2 linked regions of the Elephas maximus indicus genome follow. The protein of the gene in region 1 interacts with the protein of each later gene in a pairwise test. Links are inferred from orthologs where the notes say so. Each region holds a gene or a part of one and is shown on either strand. Other genes may lie near its edges.

Region 1 (7,855 bases):
ATATTCTACCTTTTGTCTAGAAATCAAAATCAATAGTTTTCCTATCATAAAGTAACGAAATTACTTTCTAGTAAAAAACATGGCATCACAAGTTCTTTATTATGTATGTCACATCTGTAATGGCCTTCATACTTGAAATTTTTTGTAGTTTACACAAAATTTCTAATTACAAAAATATATTATCGAAAATTACAGTAAACAAGGAAATTAACTCCAGTTAAGGTAACACCTGGGCTTCGAACCAGTTCATTCCTTCAAACCCCTAAGAATTTGCATTTCGAACAAGTATCCAGGTGATGCTAATCCTGCTGGTTTGGGAACAATTCTGAGAACCACTAGTAGGGCAGTGATTTTCAAAATTACACATAAAAATCACCTGGGGATCGTGTTAAAATGTAGATTTTTTTAAGAAAAAATTTTTGTGTGTGCATTAGGTGAAAGCTGACAGAGCAAATTAGCTTCCCGTTCAATAGTTCATACATAAAGTGTTCCATGACACTGATCTCATTCCCCACAATGTGTCAGCACTTTCCCCACTTCCGTCCTAGGTTCCCTGTTTCCTTTCACCCTGGTTTTGTACCCTCTCTCCTGCCTTCTCAACTTTGCTTTTGGGCAAGCATTGCCCTTTTGAGCTCATATAATTGATTGTTTTAAGGAACACATTCCTCTCAGGTGTTTATTTTATGGGCCAGTCTATGGTTTGTCTGAAAGGTCTGGTATTTTTTGAGAATTTGATTGCTCCGTTTTGCAATTTTTCTCCTGCTGTCCAGGGCTAAAATGCAGATTATGATTCAGTATATCTGGGGGTGGAAATGTGAATTATTAGCAGGGGTTCAAACCAGAATGAACCAGTTCGAAGCCTCCGTTCAAATGAAACTAAAAGCAGCCAGTTTTTGCACCTCATACACAAGTTCACTGTATACTGCAGCAGGCATCATTCTCCAAACCTTTAAAAGCATCTAAATGTATATAAATTTGATATTTAACTTCCTCAGTAACTGAATAAAAACAAGTTATCACCATTTCTTGAGTACCTACAACTACTGTTTTAGAGTAGGAGACCTAGGTTCGAGTCTGGATTCCTCCTCTTAACAGCTGTGTGAACGAGGGTATGTCTGTTAAGCTCGCTGAGGCTCCAATGATTCCTCATCTGTAAAACGGTAACAACTGTACCAATGGTAGAGTTGTCTTGAGGACTAAATGCACGTAAAGGTCTTAACACAGTGACTGCTGTTACTACTCCCCGTCAGGAATCACACAAGGGTGTTTCTTCACACAGTTTTACAGCTGGTTCAAAAACACCATGAGGAAGTTTTAAAAAATCACAGCTGCATGGAGTCAATTCTGACTCATGGCGACCCCATGTGTTTTAGAGCAGAGCTATGCTCCACAGCATTTTTAATGGCTGATTTTTCAGAAGGAGATCTCCTGGCCTTTCTTCCCAGGTGCCTCTGAGTGGACTCTAACCTCTAACCTTTTGGTTAGCAGCCCAGCACATTAAAGGTTTGCACCACCCAGGGACTCCCTGAGGTAGCTAGCACTTCAGTTTTATATAAGTAAACTCTCCGAAGGCAAGATTCCATTAGGAACTTTCCTCTCAGTCACAATGCTTAACAAGAAGTAGTCCTTTCTTAACTATTTAATTCGTTCATTCAACAAATCATTTTGTTCATTCAACGAATTATTGAGAATTTCTTACATGCCAGCCACTGTGCTACACGTTGGGGTTAAAGCGGTGATTCCTGCCCTTAGGAAGTTTGTTTTAGTGGGAGAGACAATCAATTAGCAATCAAACCAAACCAAACCCGACGCCGTCGAGTTGATTCCGACTCACAGCGACCCTGTAAGACAGAGTAGAACTGCCCCATAGGGTTTCCAAGGAGCGCCTGGTGGATTCGAACTGCCGACATTTTGGTTAGCAGCCGTAGCTCTTAACCACTAGGCCACCAGGGTTTCCACAGGTAATCAGGTAATCACTAAAATAATGACAATAAAGTAGGCTAAGGGATTTAAGGGGTGTGGGGGGGTGTCTATTTTAGCAACCATCATCAGCGAAGGGCAGCGATGGGCAGCTTGGCTGGTTTAAGGAACAAAAAAAGAAACTAATGAGCTTCGAGACAAGATACCAGTGACTGCTCATGATAAAGGACCAGAGTCGCATCTTTTAATCCCCTACAGCATCAAAGATCACCTGGGATCCGGATTCAAGCTTATCTGAATTCCAGGCCTGGCTCCTCTGGGCCGTGGGAAAATTCCCTAACATCTTTTCACCCTGGGTGAGCTAGGTAGGCATGGTTACCGCTACCAGGGCTGGTGTGAGCGTTCGGTGGGGCAGTGAGCAGTCCCACCAACATTACCTACAGAGCCACGCGGAAATACCAGTGCCCACATCCCCTCCTGTGGGGTCGTCTTTCGTGCCTAGGCCCTCTACAGGGCGCCCTGAGGGCTTCGCCACCACACCACAAGCCTACAGCCCCCACCCCTCACCCCGCCAGATCATTCCCGAATTGGCCCACGGCTCCTCGCCCCACAGCACGCTTGCAAGTGGCACATGTCAACCAAAACGCCATTTGCACCCTCTGCTCCCCCACGCAGCCCTCGCTCCCCGGGCTTTCAGAATGAGGGACCCACCCCAAACCCCGCCATTCCGTCCCCCCTTCCGCCCTCGTGTGACGTAAAGGCCACCCCCGGGGTTCCCCGGGCCACCCCGCCCGAGCCCGCGCTGCGGGCCCCGTGCTCCGGGGCGACCGCCGCCGCCACCACCGGCCGCGGGCCGCGTGGGCCTGGACCGGGCCGAGCTGACGGGCCAAGCTGCTCACCACGACGCTGGGGCTGCGGGTCGCCATAACAGAGCCGGCCGGCGCGCGAGTTGAGGACGGGCAAGCGGCCATGAGGAAGCCGGCTGAGGAGAGAGGAGGAGACGGAGGCGGGGACCGAGGCGAACGCAAGGCGGTGCTGCGCGGGAAGGCCGAGGGTGCGCGCGAACGCTCGCTGCCGCAGCCGCCGGCGTCTGAGGCTGAGGCGCGCAGGCCCCGCCCCCGGCGCCGGCGCCGGCGCCGGCCCCGCCCCCGCATCCCGCGCGCGCGCTCCTCTGCCCTCGGCTACAGGTTTCCACCGCACCAGGCGGCCGGCCGTGGGAATCTTCTTCCGGAAAATGCCGGCACCGCCCCCTTTCCCAGCACAGGCTCGGTCCCACCTTCCCTGAGTGACCCGTGCAGGTGGCTTCCAGAGTGCTAAACCAGCCGCCAGCTGTGTTTCTTCGTCGTGACCCTAAACTGGGCGCCGGCTCTGCAGGTTCCAGTCCTCACGTGGCGCCTCTCATCAGGCGTCCCTTTCCTAAGACTTTGCACCAGCTTGCGGCTTCCATTTTCCTGACTTGTGGCCAAGTTCTTCCAAAAATCCTTAACTGGCTATGAGAGTTAAAACCCAGGGCCCTAGAGTTAGCCAGCCAGATGAGGATGCAAATCCGGAAGAAACACTTAACTGCTCTGTGACCTTGTCCAAATTACTTAGACTCTTGGAGGCTCAGTAAAATGAGGACATTAACGTTAAGAAAACCAAAAAAGAAAAAAAAAAAAAACCCACTGCCGTCGAGTCAATTCTGACTCATAGCGACCCCACAGAACAGAATAGAACTGCCCCACAGGATTTCCAAGGAGAGCCTGGTGATTCGAACTGCTGACCTTTTGGTTAGCAGCTGTAGCACTTAACCACTAGGCCACCAGGGTTCCCAACGTTAAGAAAAAGCTACTGTAAATTCAGTTTAAAAATTCAACATTTAAAATAAGTATTGTTGCAATGGTATATATATACATACATAGATATTTTGCATAGCAATACAAAAAAAATTTTTTAATACAAATTTTGGAGGACCACAGCATATGGTTAAAAACCATGTTCTTAGTAAATTAAGAAATTTATGGAGTTATAAAGTACAGTACTTAAGACAATGTACACTCAGTAAATGGGAACTATCGCTGTTACTGATCTTCATTTTTGCCTCAACAATTTCCTCTTTGGAACTGAAAAAACAAAATCGCCTACTGACTCTCAAACAGGTTAAGTAAGCCACAGTTGCTCCAGAGATGCCGTTCCTGATGTACTCATCTGTGTATAGCGCCAGCATCTACCACACAGTGCCGGGCACAAAGTTGGTGGCCTCTCTCTTAGTAAGGACACTGAGGGATATAAGAGATACGTGCTGGTAGAATATCTGTGAAACTGGGCAAGTCATTGGACTTCTCTGAGCCTCAGTCTCCTCATCTAAAAAAATGAAAATAATAATTTCTGCCATGAGGGATTATTATGAGAATTTGTAAAGATCATGTATGTAAAGCACCTAGCATAGTATTTGCCACATAGTAGGAGGAGTTAGCTGTTATAAGTTAAGCATTTTGAAGTCCGTACTTCCCTGTTTCTCTGTCTTCCCTACCTATCATGGGGAGGCAGCAGGCTATAATGGAGAAGGTACATGTGGGCTTTGGACTGAGAAAGACCTAAGTTCAAATTATGATCTCACTGTTTACTAACTAGCATTATGACCTTGGGCAGGATCCTCTGTGTGCTTCAGTTTCCTCAAATATCAAATGGGAATAATATCTCCTTCACAGGGTATGATGAGGATTTAACTAAATAATATACGTAAAAGTGTCTAGCATAGTGCTTGGTTCAATAAGTAATAATTTTATGGTTCATAATTTTGCCTTAAACAGGTTTTCACTCTGTATCCTAGTCTCTACGACTTCTCATCCGTTCCCCTGTTGATGGGCATTTGGGCAGATTCCAGGTTTTGGCTATTGCAAACAGTGCTGCTATGCACATTCTTTATATGTCTTTGATGAAGACATGAGGGCATTTCTATTGAGTATAGACATTGATGTTCAAATTAGCACATTTTTACTAACCCTTTTAATAAACATTGAGTTCTACCAGGAAGTTAATTCAGAGAACTTCCAGTTATACATCCGGCCCTGACAAGTGCAGACTCAGCTACCCACATTTGTTTCTAAATTAGGTACCCAACAATTCAGAATCCTCCCAGCTTGCTTCTGGTTTGCATTTCCTATCCCCAACCTCTGCGGTACCACACACTGTTGCATTTCAACAATAGATTTGAAATAAACAGTGATAGCCTGTCACTCTATGTGATCACTAAAAAAAAAAAAAACACCAGGAGTTTTTATTTGTATTTAAAATGTAAAACAGCAAACAGTGCAAACTTTGAGACGTAATCTTTGGTAAGTGCAAATTTGTTCAAATATGAAATATCTTACCGAATTTGGACAATATATTCAAAATTGAAATTTAGTCTTTTAACTTTTAATTGTTTTAAAACTAAAGAAGGAATCAAGAAAATAATGATCCTTACTAATCATTACGTGATTATTACTGAAAATAAATTCATCATATAGAGGCTCTGGGTGTCAAATATACTAGGTGTTGTTACCGCAAATCGCGGGTTCGAGCCGCCTGTCGCAAAGCCCATACTGAGACAGGAGGAGGTAAGCAGTAAGAAGGCTTTATTGAATACTGGTATTCAAGAGACCCAAACCCACCCAGTTCAAGAGACAGAGGGGGTTAAATTTCTCCCAAATTCTGTCTAATTCTAAAGAGCTAGTGGAGAGTTTTATAGGGGGAAGGTCAGGGCTACCTAATGTTTTTGAGCACGTAGCCCACAGATGGTCTTACACATCACAAAACAACTATAAGAAACTCTTTATTAAACTAAAGATATGCATGCCAGACATCTGGACTCTAATCAGTATGTTTGTAACAGGCTGAAAAACTCACATAAGAATCTCTCGGCTAGTGGAACTGTTCTGCCAAGTCCACTCTGGCTGAGATAGGGAGCAAGAAAGAAAGTTGCAGATTAAAAAGTGTCAGCTTTTCTCACTGCCGTTTTGCCGGCTGAAGGCCATTTCTCAAAAGAACAAAAAAGAGAAGAGAGACCAAGGCCACAGGAGCTGAGAGAGCTCCGCCCTCCCTTGGAAGAGACCCGTGCAGCTGGTGCAATGAAAAATGTTTAGAGATTAGAGATCATTATGGCGTTAGTTGCGTCAAGCTCTCAATCACCCATTTTGAATAGGAGAAAACATGTTGTAAGGTATTAGGGTGTTTGGTATGTTTAAGAGCGGAACAGGCTGCTCAGCTATATCTTGAACAGAACCTGTACCATTTTCCAAAAACTAGAGATTAATCACAGCTTATACAGCTATACTAAAACAAACTAGAAAATATATTCCCTCGAATATTTAAAACACTAGAGAAAATGTATTTTCTCTACTCCAGTATTATCCCACAAAATGATCTTTAAACAAATAGTAGTTTAGCTTAATTAGTAAAGAATGTCTGCCTTGAGCATCGTGCTCTTAAAGAGCTATCTATATGGAATCAAACTGACAACAGCAACTCGAAAGACTAGATAGGAAGCTTAGGGGGCGGTGAGTTTATGCTAAGGACAGAGGAACAACTCAGAAAAGGAGGGTGAGAATGGTTGCACAACTCAATGAATGTAATCAATGTCACTGAATTGCACAGGTAGAAATCGTTGAATTGGTATATGTTCTGTTTTGTGTAATCTCAACAACAAAAAACTTACTGTTAAAATATGCTAGGTATGCCACTGTTCTTTGCTAAAATGTCTGTCTGCAGGAAGAAATAAGGCAAGCACGGGTAAAAAAATAAAACCCATGGCCATCAAGTCAATGCCAACTCCTAGTAACCCTATAGGACCGAGTAGAATTGCCTCATTGAGTTTCCAAGGCTGTAATCTTTATGGAAGCAGACTGCTACATCTTTCTCCCTCGAAGCAGGTTGGTGGGTTGGAACCGCAGGCCCCTCAGTTAGCAGATGAGTGCTTCAACCACTGCGCCACCAGGGCTCCTACCCAAAATCCCTCTACCTCCACTCCTACCTTTCCAGAAACCATTCTGTCATCTACTTGTTTGAACACATTTATGAATTTGTGTGTGCATCACAACCAATTCTATTTCTGCTCTGTACATTTCTTAATTTAGTAAGAAAATGGTTTTTATACCATTAGTGCCGTGCACCTCCAAATTTTGTATTGCTATGCAAAAATACACGCATGTATGTATGTATGTATGTATGTATGTATGTAATGCTGCAAAAAGACGTCAGTGTTGAATTTTTAAACTGAATTTCTTAATAATGTCAGCTCTTTCACCCTCACATCAGAATTAACTTCCATAAACTTTACTTTGATTCCATGAATTGGACGGGAAATTAAACCTTCATTGGAACCGATTTTCTAGTTGAAGCATCTGATGACACTGATATAAAACTGGCATGATTTAACGTGAAGTTCTTCTGCTAACAGAGAGCTACTCATGAAATCTACCGTTTCACTTTTCATCGTGTACAAGAAACGTTGAAATCAAAATGAGCAAATGAAGTTTGAAGAACAGTCATTTGAAGAAAACAAAAGACATTCTTCACAGAGCGATATGGAAATACCCCCTCTGCAGCTGCACCTGGTTAAATGATCTTTGAGCACACCCTTCTCAAAATAACACAAATGTTTGACATAGACGTTGACACCTTCTCTCAGTAGATTTGTCTTCTGGTTTTCATGTCCCGCATGTGGATGATAAATGTCTACAAATGTTTTGTGTATACCTGACACATCCATCATCAACTTTCTTGAGAAACAACTTGGGTATTTAATTTTTCATTAATTATGTACTTTAGTGGAAACCCTGGTGGCGTAGTGGTTAAGTACTACAAAAAGAAAAAAAAATTCTTTTCTTTCTATGGCTGCTAACCAAAAGGCCGGCAGTTCAGATCCACCAGGTGCTTCTTGGAAACTCTGTGGGGCAGTTCTACTCTGTCCTGT
Region 2 (7,767 bases), on another chromosome or scaffold:
GAGTTGGAATTGACTTGACGCCAATGGGTATGCTATGGTATGGTACAGGTAGTCTGCTTTTTGGCTATGCAGTTCTATTTGAGGAAGTCTGTTTATGGCGTCAGGGCCAATCTGCCTCCTTAAACGCAGGAGGGCATGCAATAGAGCTCTCTGGTTAATGCTTTTTCCTTTGGCACAAACTGCATTTAGTGGGTCCTTCCTGCCTTGTTTCTGTTTCCCAAGATAAGCATGGAAACCTCTGGGAGGCTGCCCACACCCCATGATGAAGAACATTGTGGATAAGGCTATAGTTTACCCAGTGCGCCAGCCACTACCTTCATTTTGCCTCCAGTTTGGGGAGAGATTTGATTTATTGTGTTTCTTGTCTTACTGAAGTTTGCTAGCTAAACAGTTGTGGTTTTCCTTCGATCAGTAAAATTTACAACACTTTTTACTTAGCAGAAGATGAAATTCGAGCTGATACAGGGAGCAGAGCTGTGAGATCACTATTTCAGAAAGGCTGGGCAGAGTGTAACAGCAGGAGAACTAGGATTTAGTCCCTGCTAATAATTTTTTTTTTTTAATAATTAGTAGAAAAAAAAATTTTTTTTTCTACTAATTATTTAACATGGACTCATCCCGCCTCATAGGAATAAAGATGGCGACCACACAAAACGCTGTACGTGCAAATGCTTTGTAAACTCCGCAGCACCATATAAGCAAAGTTGCTGTTGTTGTCAGTTGCTGTGCAGTGGGGTCAAACTCATGGCCACCTTATGTATAAGAGAATGAAGTATTGCCCGGTCCTGTGCTACCTTCAGAAACCCTGGGGGCGTAGTGGTTAAGTGCTATGGCTGCTAACCAAAGGGTCGGCAGTTTGAATCCACCAGGCGCTCCTCGGAAACTCTATGGGGCGGTTCTACTCTGTCCTGTAGGGTCGCCATGAGTCGGAATCGACTGGACGGCACTGGGTTTGGTTTGGTGCTATCTTCAAAGGGGTTACTGCTACCACCGTGAGAGACGAAGAAAACCCGTCCTACCTGTAATTTCATTACATCACCACAAGCTGGAGCCCCTACCAGTCCAGTTCCGACATTTTTAGACGTCTTGTCGAGGGACCCCACATTTCTAGGATTTTCATAATGATCAACAACCTGAAATGAGAAGGGTAAGAGAAATCAAGACCACTCTCTTTTTGGTACCGGTCCCCTCAACTTGACTGTCAGCTCCTCCAAGTCAGTGACCGAATCTTACCAGCCCATGTTCTCTGAGCCTGGCATAGGGCCTGCAACCGGAAGCTGGCAGGCAATCAGCAAACACCAAGAGTCACCTGGGGAGAAAGGCCTACATTCGTGTCAGTGAGAACCATTTGTTATCCAAAACCTTTTTGTATCTCCTCTCCAACTACCTTCAGACACTGTTTGAGATCCTGGAGAAAAATCAGCTAAATTATGTCTTAGTCCCAGGAGGTTTTTAGTCACAAACCAAGTCACGAGACTTGGGCTCACACAGCATTTCTATTATTTCCAAATAAAGTCAATTTTCAAAAGATAATGATCTAAAAAAAAAAAAGGTTACTATAAACAAATTCTTAAAATAATTACGAAAGCATTCCCAGAAGGTTCAAGATGACTCTTGTCGAAAGAAGAATGCTATGGAATGTGGCCATCTATGTACGATTTTTTAAAAAATAAAGTCTCATTACTGTATTTCATGGCCCTGAAATAACACTGGTTCAGCAGCGCGCCCTAGTGGCTGAAAGGCTGCTAGCCCAAGTTCAGTCACCATGGGCTGTCAACAAAACCTCTCCCTGGGTCTAGGAGAGTGCCCTAGCCCTTGACAAACGTGGTGAAGCCAGAACAGTATAAATACCCATTCAGTCCGACACAGTAGGCTTTAGTAATCTTGAGGCTTGTTTCCCAGCTAGCACAGCAGTAACTATCCTGATCTTCCAGTCTCCTCCCCTTTGCCTATACAACCACTGATTTTGACTCTAAGCCCAAGGACCCACAAGATAAAATCCACTCTGGACTTCTGCCCCATGTTGATTTCCAGCGATCTTTAGTTGTTTCCCGAGCAGAAGAGTCTCATCTTTAGGGGACGTTAAGCTTCCAGAAGGCAAGGGCTGCAATCTACGCACGCACACCACCCCCCAACAGAAAAAAACAAAGACAAGGACATTGTGACTGATTGTTGGTCATGTGCCTGACTCCACTACGAGGCTATGGGCTCCACAAGCAGATAGATCTTGGTCATCGCTGTGAGGTCCGCCATAGCGCTTGAGATCATTTTATTAAAATACTAATAGCAGCAGCATCATCGATGGTCTCCGTGTGTTGGGCCTATGTGCCAGGTACCATGCAGAGAACTCTACACGCATTCTCTCTTGTAGGAAGGGACTGCTAAGATTCCCAACTTACAAATGAAAAGAATGAGGTCCAGCGAGGGGCAGTGACTTGCCCAAGGTCACTTAGCCAGGGCAGTGGCCTGGCTGAAGAGGAGCTCGTGCCCTAGCGTCAGGCTGACAAGTCATAACAGGTCCAAGAACTCAGAAGAGTCCTGTTAGGGAAGTTTAAGGGCTGTGACGCACAAAATAGCAACGAGCAGTAAGGCCCTTTGGAAGTCGCCACTCGACAAGCAGCGGCTATTACTTTTATTTCCATTGCGAAACGAGAGAAAGTTAGTTGAGGCAAAGGTGTGGGAGGAGACAGTCCCTCCACCCAGGGCCGGGGGATCCCCGGACCTCGGGCTGCAGGAAGCTCCAGGCCGCGCAGTCCCCCGGTCGCCGGCCCCAACCCGATCCTCCCCCACGCCTCCGGACACCTTCGTCTCCTCGGCGATCCTCGCCCGTTCGTCCCCCGCGCACCCTATGCTTGCCCCTACCTTCTTGTGATAAAGCCGGGCCGGGGCCGACAGCTCCCGGGGTGGCAGGCGAGGACTCCGGAGCAGCAGGGCCGACGCCGCCCGGCGCAGCCGACCCGCTCCAGCCGCCGCCATCTTGCGGGGTCGCGCCTGCGCCAGCCAAGAGCGAGGCCGGGGGCGTGGCTCGCCCTGCAGCGAGCGACGGGCTTCGCTTAGGGCGCGCCCCCTCTTACGTCACCGCGCCTTCGCGCCTGCGCCCTTCGGCCCCGTGCGGTTCGTGCTTTGTCCCCACCTTGACCACACCTCTCCGGGGGCTGGCGGGGCTGGGAGCGGGAAGGTCCAAGTACCACGAAAGCGAGTCCTAGGTGCTGCGTTCTGGATGGGAAAGGACCTAAAGCTGGGGTGAGGGACCCGACTTAATGCAGCACACAAGGTCACCCAGTCCGCTCTCTCATCCTTTTTTGCAGCTAAGGACGCTGAGGTTCGAGCGGTTTAATAACTTGTCTGAGGTCGCTTAGAGTTAGGTACAATTGGGATTCGAACAACCCTGGGTTAGAGTCCTGATTTTGCCCCTTCCTGGTTGTCACCCTGGAAACCCTGGTGGCGTAGTGGTTAAGTGCTACGGATGCTAATCAAAGGGCCGGCAGTTCGAATCCACCAGGCGCTCTTCGGTTCTGCTCTGTCTTATAGGGTCCCTATGAGTCAGAATCGACTCGACGGCACTGGGTCTGGTTTTTTTGGTTTTTGGTTGTCACCCTAGACGAATGACATCAGCTCTCTAAGCGTCTCTTTTTTTTTTTTTTTTTTGCATTAATTCAAATAAAATTGTTTCGCCCATTCAGCAAATATGTATTGAGCACCTCCTACTTGTCAAGGCGTTATACTAGTCTCTGGCGAGCCAACGAAAAGCAAAACAAATGTAATTTCTGTCCCAACTAAGCTTACTAACGAGGGAGAAAGGCAATAAAGAAACAATAGTTTCCTAGCTCAAAAATGGGAGTTTAAGGAGGAAATGAACACCATGCCCTGAATTAAAAAAGTATATACCTATTTAAAAATATTCTTTATCTATTTCTCTCTATACAACAGTAAACTATCAAAATTTATATGGTAATACTTGACAGTTAAGAGTTTCTAAATAAATGCTTAGGAAATAATTCATATTGATTTGCAGAATATCTTATAAAACCGGAAAACTCATGTGTGCGTTTAACACCTACTAGGCACCGGTCCTATCAGGTGCCAGCCGGAAACCCTGGTGGTGTAGTGGCTAAGTGCTATCTATGGCTGCTAACCATAAGGTCTGCAGTTCGAATCCACCAGGTGTTCTTCGGGAACTTTATGGGGCAGTTCTATTCTGTCCTCTAGGGTCGCTGTGAGTCAGAATCCACTCGGTAAAGGGCTTGGTTTTGGATTAGGCACCAGTCCTTACATAATGAGAGGAATCTCTTTGGGAAATGAATTTTTCTCATAAATAGCGCAATCGATCCTTCTCCAAGGACTTGGAGTTTTCACTACGTTTGTGTCTCGGTTGCTGAGGTGACTGAACCACGCGCCAGGTCACAAGAGGCATTAATGCATATATTCGAGGAGTCCCTTTGACCTTCTCAAAATGGCGTCAAAACCTTAACTACAGTCATCACGCTCATTTCATGACTTCCTCTATGCCCTCCACTTCCTGCCCAAAGACCCAACTTCTGTCCGAAGTTGTGGCGGAATATATGCCATGTTAAAGAATTGTTTTTCTGACAGGATCTTTTACAAATATGTAAAGTTAATATGAATGGCGTGTATTTAGAGATTTTCCCATCATCCGAAGCTCGCAGTTTCCCATTCGGTGGCCAGAGGGCGGGGTTTTGATCAGGCGTGCGCCGCGGGCAGCTTGTACTTCAGCCAGTCTTCGGCGGCGGAACGAAGGACCCAAGTCACTGGAGACTCAAGATGGCGACGGCAGCTGCATCCTCCGCTTCAGAGCCGGAGGCTGAGCCCAAGACTGCGCCCAAAGTTGGGCCCAAGGCCGAGGGAGACGAGGATGAGCTTAAGGAAACCAGGACGAGGAGGAAGGTGTTATCGCGGGCTGTGGCTGCTGCGTCGTACAAGACGGTGGGGCCAGCGTGGGATCCGCAGGAGGAAGGCGTGAGTGAGAGCGATGGAGATGAAGAGTACGCCATGGCTTCTTCAGCGGAGAGCTCCCCGGGGGAGTACGAGTGGGAGTACGACGAAGAGGAGGAGAAAAACCAGCTGGAGATCGAGCGGCTGGAGGAGCAGGTGGGCGCCGGGGTGGGCAGCGGGCTCCCTCCGCCTCCAGGCCCTAGCCCGCTCCTCTGCCCCTTGGAGCAGAGATGCTGCCCTGATCCTCAGCGGCAGTAAAGCCTCCAAGGCCGCAGAACCGTTACTTAACATTGCAATTTCCATTATTTGAGCGCTCGCTGCGTGCCCAGCGCTTTGCAAGCATTATTCCATTGAATACTCGCAGCGAACCAGTGAAGGCAGTAGCGTTGTCCCCGTTTCGTGGGAGGACACTGAGGCTCGTGGAGGGGAGTCTCTGGCTCAAGATTACACGTTCTGCAAGTAGCGAGTCAGGCTTTGAGCTTCGAACCGACTCCAGGACTCCCACTAACCACACAGTTAAACTACATCTAGCAGTAAAGTAAATTTTAATTGTAAGAGCACTATTTGTCTGTAGGAATGACGACGATGATGAAATATGTTGTAGTCGAATAAATATTGATCCGACGATGAAAATAGGAATGGAAAGATAGAGGCTACTCAGTTGGAGGCTCAAACCCCCGTTGTAGCTGTTCCACACCTGTATGTGCTTGGGCGAATTTCCTAAATTCTCTGATCCTTTGCTTTCTCATTTGTAAATTAAGAGCAGTGTTCTTGCATCATAAAATGGTCATAACAGTAATGTTAGCCCTGTGCCTAGCACCCACGAGGAACATGACCTCTAATGTGTAAAACAACCTTGTGAGATGTAGGTGGTGGTATCTTTTGGATAAGCCAGGATCCCAGCAGGAAATAGATGGTGCATTCAAATTAGGATAATTTAAGAAAAGGTTCATAAAGGGACTACTGTGTTTGTAAAGGCAAGTAAGAAGCAAAGGTTTAGTATTCCACAGTTGGTAACAACAGGACTTGGTGTCCACCTTTAGGCCTGAAGTAGTGTGAATAGTTGTGTGGGGTTGGCATCTGAGAGGAGCTGAGACCTTTGGTCAAAGGGTGCAGCCAGCGGTTTCCCAGTAGGGGAAGGAAGCAAGTGGAAGAAGAAAAACTCTTTTTATCTCCCTCACTTCCTCCAGATCTCTGCTAGTCTCCCACTGAGCAAACCCAACTGAAGGCCAGAGAGCCCAGTTGATGTGGATCACACAGGAAGGCACAGGGCAGGGAGGGGAGAGGAGGGTGGTGTGGAGTTGGAGGGGCAAACTGAAGAGATTGAGCACATTCTCATTTTACAGATGAGGAAAGGAAAGAGGCTCAGAACAAAAGATGAAATGATTTGCCTAGAGTCACTCACAGTGGGATTTGAACTCTTAAAGGTTGCCTGTGGACCAGATGCCACGTTGCATGTCCTGCTGGCACTGTTTTTAAGTTATGAGATAACGTCATGCGTTGGTATAACTTGTTGCATTTGTCATAGAATCTGATTTTTGAAGGAACCAGTTGGGATAGACAGGTGGTTACCATTTTTCTTTTATAAGTAAGTATGCTGAAGTTCATTCAGTCTTTTATTCATTCAGCAAGTACGGTGTGATACCTGCCAGACTGACTGTGTCCCTGTCTGTATGGAAATCAGTTCTTCATATTTCTAGCCTTAGGTCTTTTGATGAGCCATTAGCTCACTTTGACCTTAATGTTTTATGAGGTAGGGAAACTAGAATCATCTGTTTTAGTAGGAAGAGGAGGCTTGGAACCAGAGAGATGAAGTCCTTAATGAAAGTACATAGTTTACTTACTAAGGAGAAGGAGGCGACAGGATGGAGGTCGGCATGAAGGTCTCCTGGCTACTATACAATTGCCTGTCCTGCCTCGGGTCACCGAGGATGGGTGGGATAGAGCTCAGAAGGTGACCACATAGGATGGGACCTGGCAAGCGATGGTGAGCTGAAGGACTTCTGGCCTTATCCTCTTTGTCCTGAGGTCTAGAAATTGACTTTTCCAATTTTTCCAGACCTCCTTCCTAACCTCCTCCTAACCCCGCAGTCTGTAGTTCCTGCTGTAACTGTCCTTATGATGGAGCGTAACGATAAGTAACTTTCCAACAGGCCTGTGGAAACCTGGCCCTGCCATTTTTGGAAGCTCGGAACACATCCACATGTGTTTATTTCCTTCTTTTTGCTTGTTTAGGATTGTTTTGTTCTTTTCTAGTTTCTCGATGCAGGAACCTAGATTATTGATTGAGACCTCCCCTCTTTCCTAGAATGAGCATTTAAGTCTATAAATTTCCGTCTCAGCGCTGCTTTAGTTGCATCCCACTTGTCTTGCTGTGTTCTGTTTTCATGTCCATTCAGTTCTAAATATTTTTTAAAAAACATTTCTTTGAGACTTCGTGTTTGATCCATATTGTTTAGAAGTGTATTCTTAATTCCAAATGTTTAGAGGTTTTTCTGTTGGCTTTGCAATTGATACCTAGTTTGATTCTCTTGTGGTCAGAAAGCATACTCTGTATGATTTCAGTTTTTTTAGATTTGTTGAGGTTTCTGTTTCGGCCCAAGAGAGGGTAAATGTTCCGTGGAGACTTGAGAAGGTATGTTGTGCTACCGTTGGCTGAGGTGTTGTGTGTGTGTCAGTTAGGTCCTGTCGGTCGATGATATTGTTGAGCTCTCCTGTGTCCTCGATGGTTTCCTTTATAGTAGTTGTGTCAGTTGCCAGGAGTCCCTGGGTGGTGTAAACAGTCAATGTGCTTGGCCGCTAACTAAAACGTGG

The links. The genes of interacting proteins can lie anywhere in the genome.
Region 2: the proteins of HPRT1 (region 1) and ISCU interact in binary tests that used the Homo sapiens proteins (3 or more experiments, as listed by UniProt). The two-hybrid records come from large-scale screens. The link is inferred for Elephas maximus indicus from reciprocal best matches to the Homo sapiens genes HPRT1 and ISCU.

What each region holds. Positions count from the first base shown.
Region 1 is NC_064846.1:21,482,667-21,490,521, forward strand, and holds the start of HPRT1 (hypoxanthine-guanine phosphoribosyltransferase), read right to left. Parts: upstream 3,021-7,855; 5' UTR 2,892-3,020; coding exon 2,820-2,891; intron 1-2,819. UniProt on the Homo sapiens protein: Converts guanine to guanosine monophosphate, and hypoxanthine to inosine monophosphate. Transfers the 5-phosphoribosyl group from 5-phosphoribosylpyrophosphate onto the purine.
Region 2 is NC_064840.1:19,109,921-19,117,687, reverse strand, and holds the start of ISCU (iron-sulfur cluster assembly enzyme ISCU), read right to left. Parts: upstream 3,017-7,767; 5' UTR 2,977-3,016; coding exon 2,863-2,976; intron 1,134-2,862; coding exon 1,020-1,133; intron 1-1,019. Other genes in the region: SART3 (squamous cell carcinoma antigen recognized by T-cells 3), read left to right, coding at 4,783-5,109.